2 linked regions of the Arabidopsis thaliana genome follow. The main gene of each other region encodes a partner of the protein of the gene in region 2 in a complex. Each region holds a gene or a part of one and is shown on either strand. Other genes may lie near its edges. The genes, in order: SCE1 and SAE2. A codon is read from its position in the direction of its gene.

The links.
Region 1: the proteins of SAE2 (region 2) and SCE1 are in contact, whole or in part, in a crystal structure (PDB 6GUM), measured with the Arabidopsis thaliana proteins. Residues at the interface, in NP_179742.2 of Arabidopsis thaliana: Leu469, Met471, Gly473, Asn474, Ser475, Leu476, Glu479, Val480, Gly481, Asp483, Leu484, Asp485, Met488, Asn491, Tyr492, Asn495, Pro504, Thr514, Glu516, Asp517, Leu518, Gln519, Lys525; in NP_191346.1 of Arabidopsis thaliana: Arg7 (codon at 1,753), Ala11 (codon at 1,741), Arg14 (codon at 1,732), Lys15 (codon at 1,729), Arg18 (codon at 1,720), Lys19 (codon at 1,717), Lys28 (codon at 1,564), Pro29 (codon at 1,561), Thr31 (codon at 1,555), Asp34 (codon at 1,546), Gly35 (codon at 1,543), Thr36 (codon at 1,540), Val37 (codon at 1,537), Asn38 (codon at 1,534), Leu39 (codon at 1,531), Met40 (codon at 1,528), Glu67 (codon at 960).

The regions. Positions count from the first base shown.
Region 1 is NC_003074.8:21,428,340-21,432,262, forward strand, and holds SCE1 (sumo conjugation enzyme 1), read right to left. Parts: upstream 2,060-3,923; 5' UTR 1,772-2,059; coding exon 1,703-1,771; intron 1,577-1,702; coding exon 1,493-1,576; intron 1,006-1,492; coding exon 853-1,005; intron 761-852; coding exon 647-760; intron 555-646; coding exon 492-554; 3' UTR 157-491; downstream 1-156. Other genes in the region: AT3G57880 (Calcium-dependent lipid-binding (CaLB domain) plant phosphoribosyltransferase family protein), read right to left, coding at 2,859-3,923. UniProt on the Arabidopsis thaliana protein: SUMO-conjugating enzyme that accepts the SUMO proteins from the E1 SUMO-activating heterodimer SAE1/SAE2 and catalyzes its covalent attachment to other proteins with the E3 SUMO ligases SIZ1 and MMS21.
Region 2 is NC_003071.7:9,196,511-9,200,433, reverse strand, and holds the start of SAE2 (SUMO-activating enzyme 2), read right to left. Parts: upstream 1,841-3,923; 5' UTR 1,683-1,840; coding exon 1,650-1,682; intron 1,564-1,649; coding exon 1,474-1,563; intron 976-1,473; coding exon 892-975; intron 821-891; coding exon 602-820; intron 455-601; coding exon 353-454; intron 218-352; coding exon 1-217.

The sequences.
Region 1 (3,923 bases), on a different chromosome or scaffold from region 2:
CAAGCTTTCTATCTCAATCATTGACAAAAAATGTTCCAAGTAGCAAACAATTTACTAACAAGCACTAATACTACTTCAAAAGTCTAAAATCAGTGGAGTATAAATTTTAGAGGAGTAAGATTTTGACTTTCAAGTGTTAAGCGTAGTTTCAAGTTAGAAATATATGTATTTCTAGATTCACAACTAAGATTCGTTACTCTATGGAATGAAGACTTCATATTTCACTTAGTAGAATTTGGACAACACTCATGAACGACCAGAGAACATAATTATGTATTATATAGAAGCAACACCAACTGAATCAGTACCAAGAATATTAACAGTTAAATAGAGAAAGAAGAGTTTTTTTTCGAAAATAAATAGATTCCAGTGTCTTAAGGTGCCAAAATGAGGAGTTTTCAATCACCCAATGACATCTAAACATAATGACACAAGACGAGAAAATATTCAGAGCTTGTCATCAGTTTTGGTGCGTTCTCTTTTTTGAGGTTTTAGACAAGAGCAGGATACTGCTTGGACTGCAGCTTCACCCTTTTCTTGTACTCAACTGGATCCTGCACAATAATCATCAACAATCACTCGACTTAGTTCCTTCCTATGTTTCAAAACCTAATATTGTGTTTAGAGTTTTCATTTCTAAATGTACCTGACAGAAGAGATGATAACCATCTGTCTGTGCAGGGTCAGCGGGATTCGGTGTGTCAAGTAAATCCTGAATACCAACAAGAATCTGCTTCACGGTGATGGCTGGTCTCCATCCCTATGGATATACACATAACAAAAGAGAGCTTGAGGATAAAGCTGGCTTTTGCTCATGGAGAAATGCAAAGAAAGAAACAGTAGAGTACTTACATAATCCTCGTTAAGGATAGAGAGACAGACAGTTCCAGATGGATAGACATTAGGGTGGAAAAACCCTTGTGGAAATTTACATTTCGGAGGTTTGCTCGGATAATCCTCACTGAAGTGCATCGTTAATGGAAAGAATCCACCTTCCCAATCAGTCTGCAGCAGAGAAACATGTAAAATTAGCTATAAACAACAGTAAAGATTGATATTAGCAATTGCTCTTGCAGTAACACTCTTATTAGCCATGTCAAAGTAAGATACACAGCAGAGTTCAGTTTCAATGTCGTATTCAAGACCAAAATCATATGCACCAATAAAAAAACATCATACAAGATAAACAAGGAGATAGATACACAGCTACTCTTCCCACTAACATTCATATTAGATAATCTTCCACGGCTCTATGTGTAAGCAAATATGAGAGAATCATCAAACAGAATCACAAAGAAAAAGAAGGGAAGAGACTGGTGAAGCTTAAAACTTTGAAGAACTAAGAATCAGAAGATGATAAAAACAAAGACTTTAGCCCAAATCAATAAACCCTAATTTCAATCTCTTTTTTGTTGCTACTAATACAAACCAGAAGAAAACAAGCAGAGGAATAAGAAAACTGAAGAAACCTAATTTCACGATTGATACTTACCCCAGCTTTACCAGGTATAGTGCAATGCCACACCATTAGATTCACAGTTCCATCCTGCCCCGTCTCCGGCTTTGCCACAAAACCCTAAATTTCACCATCAACAAGAAGAAACCCAATCAGTAATCAGAGACCATGAACAATCAACAGAAACCCAAAACCCATAAATCAAAATCACGAATTTGGAGAAATAGAAGACACGAAATCACTTACATGAGGATGATTCTTCCTCCACGATTTCCTCTCTTCAGCTAAACGACCACGAGCGATTCCACTAGCCATATCTCTCTCTCTCTCTCTCTTTAGAATCTCACTCTACAATATCTAAATCTCTCTCTTCTGATTTGTCTCGCTCGCTCTCCAATCTCTATCTCTCTATATATAAACTCGAAGAAGACACAAATAGGAGATTGGGGGAAGATGGAATGTGAAGTTACAGATGTACCCCTATGTTAAAGCTTTAGAAGGGTAATCGGAGTATCGTACGGTCCAGATTTCGCGGCGAATAAATGTCCTTTCGTCCTACTTCCTCCACTTTAATGGTTATTGACCGGTCAATTATTAAATTTTAACCAGGTATAATTATTATCTACTATATCATAAAATAAATGAAAAGACGTAATGAAAAAGTCAATGGATAAATGTGGCGTGAAACCTACGCGATGATACCCAAAAAAGCTACCAAAAGATTCTTTCTCTGCCATAACGTATCATCCCATTTGTCACGTGGCCCATTACCATATCTGGGCCCATTTACTTTGTGTTCTTAACTCTTAAGCTTGCTTTAATTATTCCCCTCTTCTTCTTAATGGTTGGTCTTTCTAGAATAAAAGTATCTCACCTGGCAAACATTTGTCAAACAGAATGGTCGGAAAAAAAATAAAATATCAAAGCTTTCAATGAATTTTTGTGTAAGAATGTTATTTAGCGAACATATATTCCCAATATGATAGTTTTTTTGGTTATAACCAACTTTGGATGTATTAGAAAAATGGTTTTTTCTTGAAACTTGTATTTGACCATTAGACCAAACTGTGACAACCTCTAATCTCAACAGCAACCAACCCAATGGCACCAAACTCCTAAAGCTCCAGTGATAAAACACAAAAACCAGAGAGGCATAGATTATGACTTACTAACCAGTGACAAGAACATCAAAACCACACAAGATACTTCTTTACTACTTTCAAACAAAAGTCTTAATAATGTTAAAAGACAGACGGATACATCATCACCATCACCAAGAAAAGAGTCATCATGACATTTTTAACAATGAACAAACTAAAAAGAGTCATCATGATATTTTTAACAAGAACAAACTACAAGTCTTATAGAAGTTTTCTTCGGTATTGGAAGCAGTTTTTGCAGGTCAGAGCATGCAATCAGTTCTTGCAGGAAGCCTTCTGAAGAAATTGAGAGGAACGGATGGTAGTTTGTATCTGAACCTCGGATGTCTCAGAGCATAGATTCCAATACAAAGAGCCACAACCTGGAAAGGTGTCACATAGAGAATGACTGCGGCAATCAAGCAGAACAAGACGAAGAGCGCTGTTGCACGCGGATCACGCCAGCTTAGCAGAGACTGAAGCCTTTCTCCTTGAGTTGCTAGATCACCTACCACTGTCTGAATCCTACCAGCAATACTCCTCAACCTGTCATACCTCATCCTGACTATGTCAGATGGTCGGGAAGTAGGAAAAGTGTCGAACTCTTCATCTAGCTCGTCGGGGTGGGCTGAGTCAGCGTGAGAGAGACGTGTGTCCATGTGAGGAGGATGCCTCGGTCTCCAACGGTAGTACCAGATACCGATGAGGAAGAGGTAGAGGAAGATGGTGGGCAAGATTAGTTCGGGATAGAGCACAAGGATGATGAACAAGAGATGGATCAAGACTGTTGTGATTGGATTCTTCCAGTTGCAGATTTGTTCAAACCATTTTCCTACTGCGATTAACCCACTCAAAACTCCCATAATCCTGAAAAAGTTTGCTTTGCTTCTCCGCATACTCCACATGTGAGAACCCACATCAAGCATATACTCAACTACTTCTTTCCTTAGAGGTGGTTCTGCTCGGGTCAGCCTCATCGATACAATCTGAGTCGCTTGATGCCTCAAGTTATCAAGCTGGCTAACCGTCAGTGGATGGATATAATGCATCTTCGGTAAGAGAGGCTGTGAGTACATATACATCATGTTGAGCAATGAAGAGCAAGTGAATCTCACAGCTAAGTGAATTTCTCCCATTTTCTTGACTCCGTTAGGATGGAGCACCAAAAGAGGGTATGAATGTGTATAAACTCGATCAGTCTCGAGAGTAGAAAGCCTGATTCTTACCTTCCCGATTCTTGAATCTTTTGCTCCTCCAATCTTCTCACCTCCATGGAGATGGCAGTTATCAAAAACTCCAACAGTAACAACGGTGCACGGATCAAAAAC
Region 2 (3,923 bases):
ACAAAGCCGCTTCAATGTTAGAACCAAACACATGATCATATATCTTCCTACCATACTGCTCAATATCTTCATCTTCTGAACGTTCAAATACATCTTCTGTTTCTTTGGATGAGCTTGCAGAATTGTTGGATCGCACATTAAGATCATTATCTTGATTCTTGTCGCCAAACAACTTTGCAAAGAGCAGGTCTTTTGCCCATACAATACAGTGCACAAACTGCAGAATCAATTCAAAATTCATCGGCACATCAAAAACAAGCTCTATGCTTAGGATAATACTATATAAGCCAAGATAGAATATAATTTCCCCAAGATTCACAAAAATTTGGAACAAACAAGACAGTGTTAATACCTTAGTTGGCGTGCTGGTTATTGTACACACAGGATAAGTCTTTGGAGCAGGTTTGGTTTGGCACTCATAACATTCTGTTTTTCCCTTTATATGCACAGTTACCTGATTTTTACAAGCAAGTATTGCAAAGTCAGATACGAGAGAAATGACAACAGTACACCATTCAAGCCTAACATTGTAGTGCATCTAACTCATAGAATAATGATAAGAGAAAGAAGAGCTGCAAGACCAAAAGGCAAGCAGAATAACCTGTCCAAGGAAGCCCGTTGTCCCACTTTCTACAAGAGGAACATCAGCTGCAAGACAAAGGCGATTCACATGACGCCTTGCGTCCAAGTTGTCCAGCCCATTCAGAACAACATCAAATTGCTTGAAAAAATCAACATCAAACTCGGGATTCTTCACATTTGCATGGTATGATCTTATATTAATGTTAGGCCTAAATCTCAAGACTGCATCTCTGGCAACCTGGTGATATGGTAAAAATATATTAACTCTTATGAACTGGCTTTCCTTGGACTTAGCTCAAGCAAAATTACCTTAGCCTTAGACTGCCCAACATGAGAACGACGGAATAGAAATTGCCTATTCAGGTTACTGACTTCAATAGTGTCCATGTCAATCTGTAACACAAGAGTTCAGTAACTTAATCACGGTTACAAACTAATCTTATAAGTCCCTGCTCTATTCATACAGAAATCCAGTAGGAGCACAGGTGAAATCCGATGGTTTCTGATACAAAACATCAATCATAAATCTACAAAATCCGAAAATTAAAACAGAAGCAATTCATGCACACCAAATTATAAATAGCCTAACTAGTCTTAGAAATTACACTAAACCTATTGGCGAAGACAGCTAAACAGAGAGTCCTCCTAGAGACATATGATTCCATCTTCCAAGTCAAACTTAACTTGATCTAAAAGCTCAAAGATGTTGAAATTACTCAAATCATCAATAACCCTAAATGCCAATCAAATCCAGTAGCACAATAGGAGATTTGAAATGCTTAAACTTTCGTCTGTGACCCAGAATCTCAATAGAGAAGAAGAAGAAATCACAAGTTAAGAATACTAAAAGTCACGAAAACAGAAAAAGTGGAAAGAAATTGAGAAACTTACAATATGAATGTCCTCGAATCCAGAAAGAGCAAGAGTCTTAAGTAACTCGCAACCAATCCCACCAGCTCCAACCATAAGCACTTTCGCGCCCTAAAACCAAACACAGGAGAATTGAAAAGACTTCAATTTGAAAACACCCCAATAAAAAGAAGCTTAAGTTCACCTTCAGAGCTTACTTTAATGGCGGATTGCTGTTGTTGCGTAGCCATGGCGGAGAAAGTGAAAAGACGGAGCAATACGTTAAACGACGATTCAGAAGCAGAAGAAGGAGAACTGGGGGATTAGAAAAATTAAAGCTTTTTAGGACTAATGAATTGAAATCGAAAGAAATTAGGGAACAGAGAAATAGTAGCGAATTTTGATTTTCTAGGGTTTATTGTGGAGGGATTTGGGAAATTTGGAAGAAAGAACAAAGGAGAGAAGAGGAAAAGAGACGTCTCTTGGAGAAAAAAGAGTCACGTGGGCTTTTTTGTGTGTAAACTTGTTAGTTTCCTCTTTCGAATATTTAGTGTAGTTGACTTTTTTAATTCAATTCGATTCGAGTCAAAACAAAATTTTGATTCGAGTGAATTTTTATTTTTTATGTAAACTTATGTTTGAAAAACATTAATTAAAAAGATATATATTTTTTTTCATATAAATGTCTTTACACCTTCTTGCTCAATTTAGTGATGGCTTTTAATTAGTAGTTTGATCGGACTCAAGCCTTTTAATTTTTTTCTTTTCAAATTTTATAAACTATCTCTACTGATGGATTTTTTTATATAGAGTTTATAGCTTACGTTAGGTTAAGTTCTTGATATTTGTTTAAACTATCTCAATCATTTGCTAAGAGTTAAAGCTTAATTCAATAAATCTAGACAATGACGTTTTGATAAAAACAAAACACGTTTGTTTTGTTGAATTTGTAGTTTATTTCAGTCACGACTTTTTGCTTGGTTGATGGAATGTATATTCAAGTAATGCTTTCTCTGGTTTGATGAATTCCTACAATGGATACTGAATGGAAGCATCGTACGTCTCTCATGGTGTAATGTTCTTTCTTCATTGTGTGTTGAATTCGGTGTGTTACCTCTTCTTCTCTGTCATGATACTTAGAGCTCTTTGCCTTGTGTTTTATCATGCCCATTGGGTTCTCTGGTCTTTAGTATTTCCTTTCTTCAATAGGTGTTTATGTAATTCCCTCGGGATGATACTTGTAATTGACTTTAGGGTTTAGTTTCACTAATTCATTGGTCGTTAGTCACATACGACTAATGTATGTGCTTGATTCTCCTTCTTTACCTTGATGCATTCTCTTGTGTTGATTACTCTAATAGCCCTAGTTAGCTCATTGATTGTTCAATTTAGTTTCCAATTTTGAATCATGTTATGCATTTTATCTCTTTGTTTTGTAGTCCTAATTACCTGTTATTGGCTTGCATTTTATCTCGTCTAATTGGGTTCTCCCATATTCAAGACCTTAGTGTTTATTGTCATTTCTTGAATGCACATTTATGTGACTCTTTGTGTTGATCTTGTAATTCGCTTTGGGGTGTAGTTTTACTAATTGATTGTTTGTTGCATTATATACACATAGGTGTAACCTAGATTATTAAATTACACTTCCTCATAAATAATATCCATTTCACTTGATATCATGTTGTGAAGTGATCAAAATGGATTTAGTAGGATTGGTGCTTGTGCACTCTCGACTTCTTTGTCTGTAAAGCCTAGTATCCATCTGAGTGTAACTAAAAAAGAATTCATTTATACCAAATATCGTTAGCTTAATTGGTAAAAACCCTAGGTGAAGCTTAGAGGTTGCCGGTTCGAGTGACGCTTGAGACTAAACTAATATTATATGCTGTGGTTTCAGATTTGGGAGGATTACGGACTTTGACCCAGAATCTCTGGTATTCAAAAAAAAAAAAAAATGATTTCATTTCATGAACCAAATACTACTAATGTCTCGGTGGTGTATACACCCAAACCAATATTCGTTTCTGCAAAAGTTGTAAATTTTGTAATATTGTGACCTCAATCAGGTTTCTCCTGTGATGTTCTTCTTTTCTAATCTTGTTTTACAGTTTCAAAAATCTACAATTGTACACAACAACTTCGTAGCTTAAACATATCCATTGTAAATGAAAATTAATCTTGTCCACTAATCCCAACAGCAACAAATCCTAGCACATAATCGATCTACAATTATTGGCATTCACTTCAGTCATTAGAAAGCTAAGTTAAATTTTCATTATTCGCTCTAGTGGAATGAAGGGTAAAATTGTCAAGACACAAAACCAGAAATGTTTAATTCTGTAAAGCATTACAAAATTTCCTAATCTCTAATTTCCAACCCAACAAATGCCTATTTTTAATAATAACTCCTAAAATAATAGGAACAAAAAGAAGAAAGAATGAAGAGAAATGAAATAGAACAAACTACAGGGAATAAAACCTTTGTTACT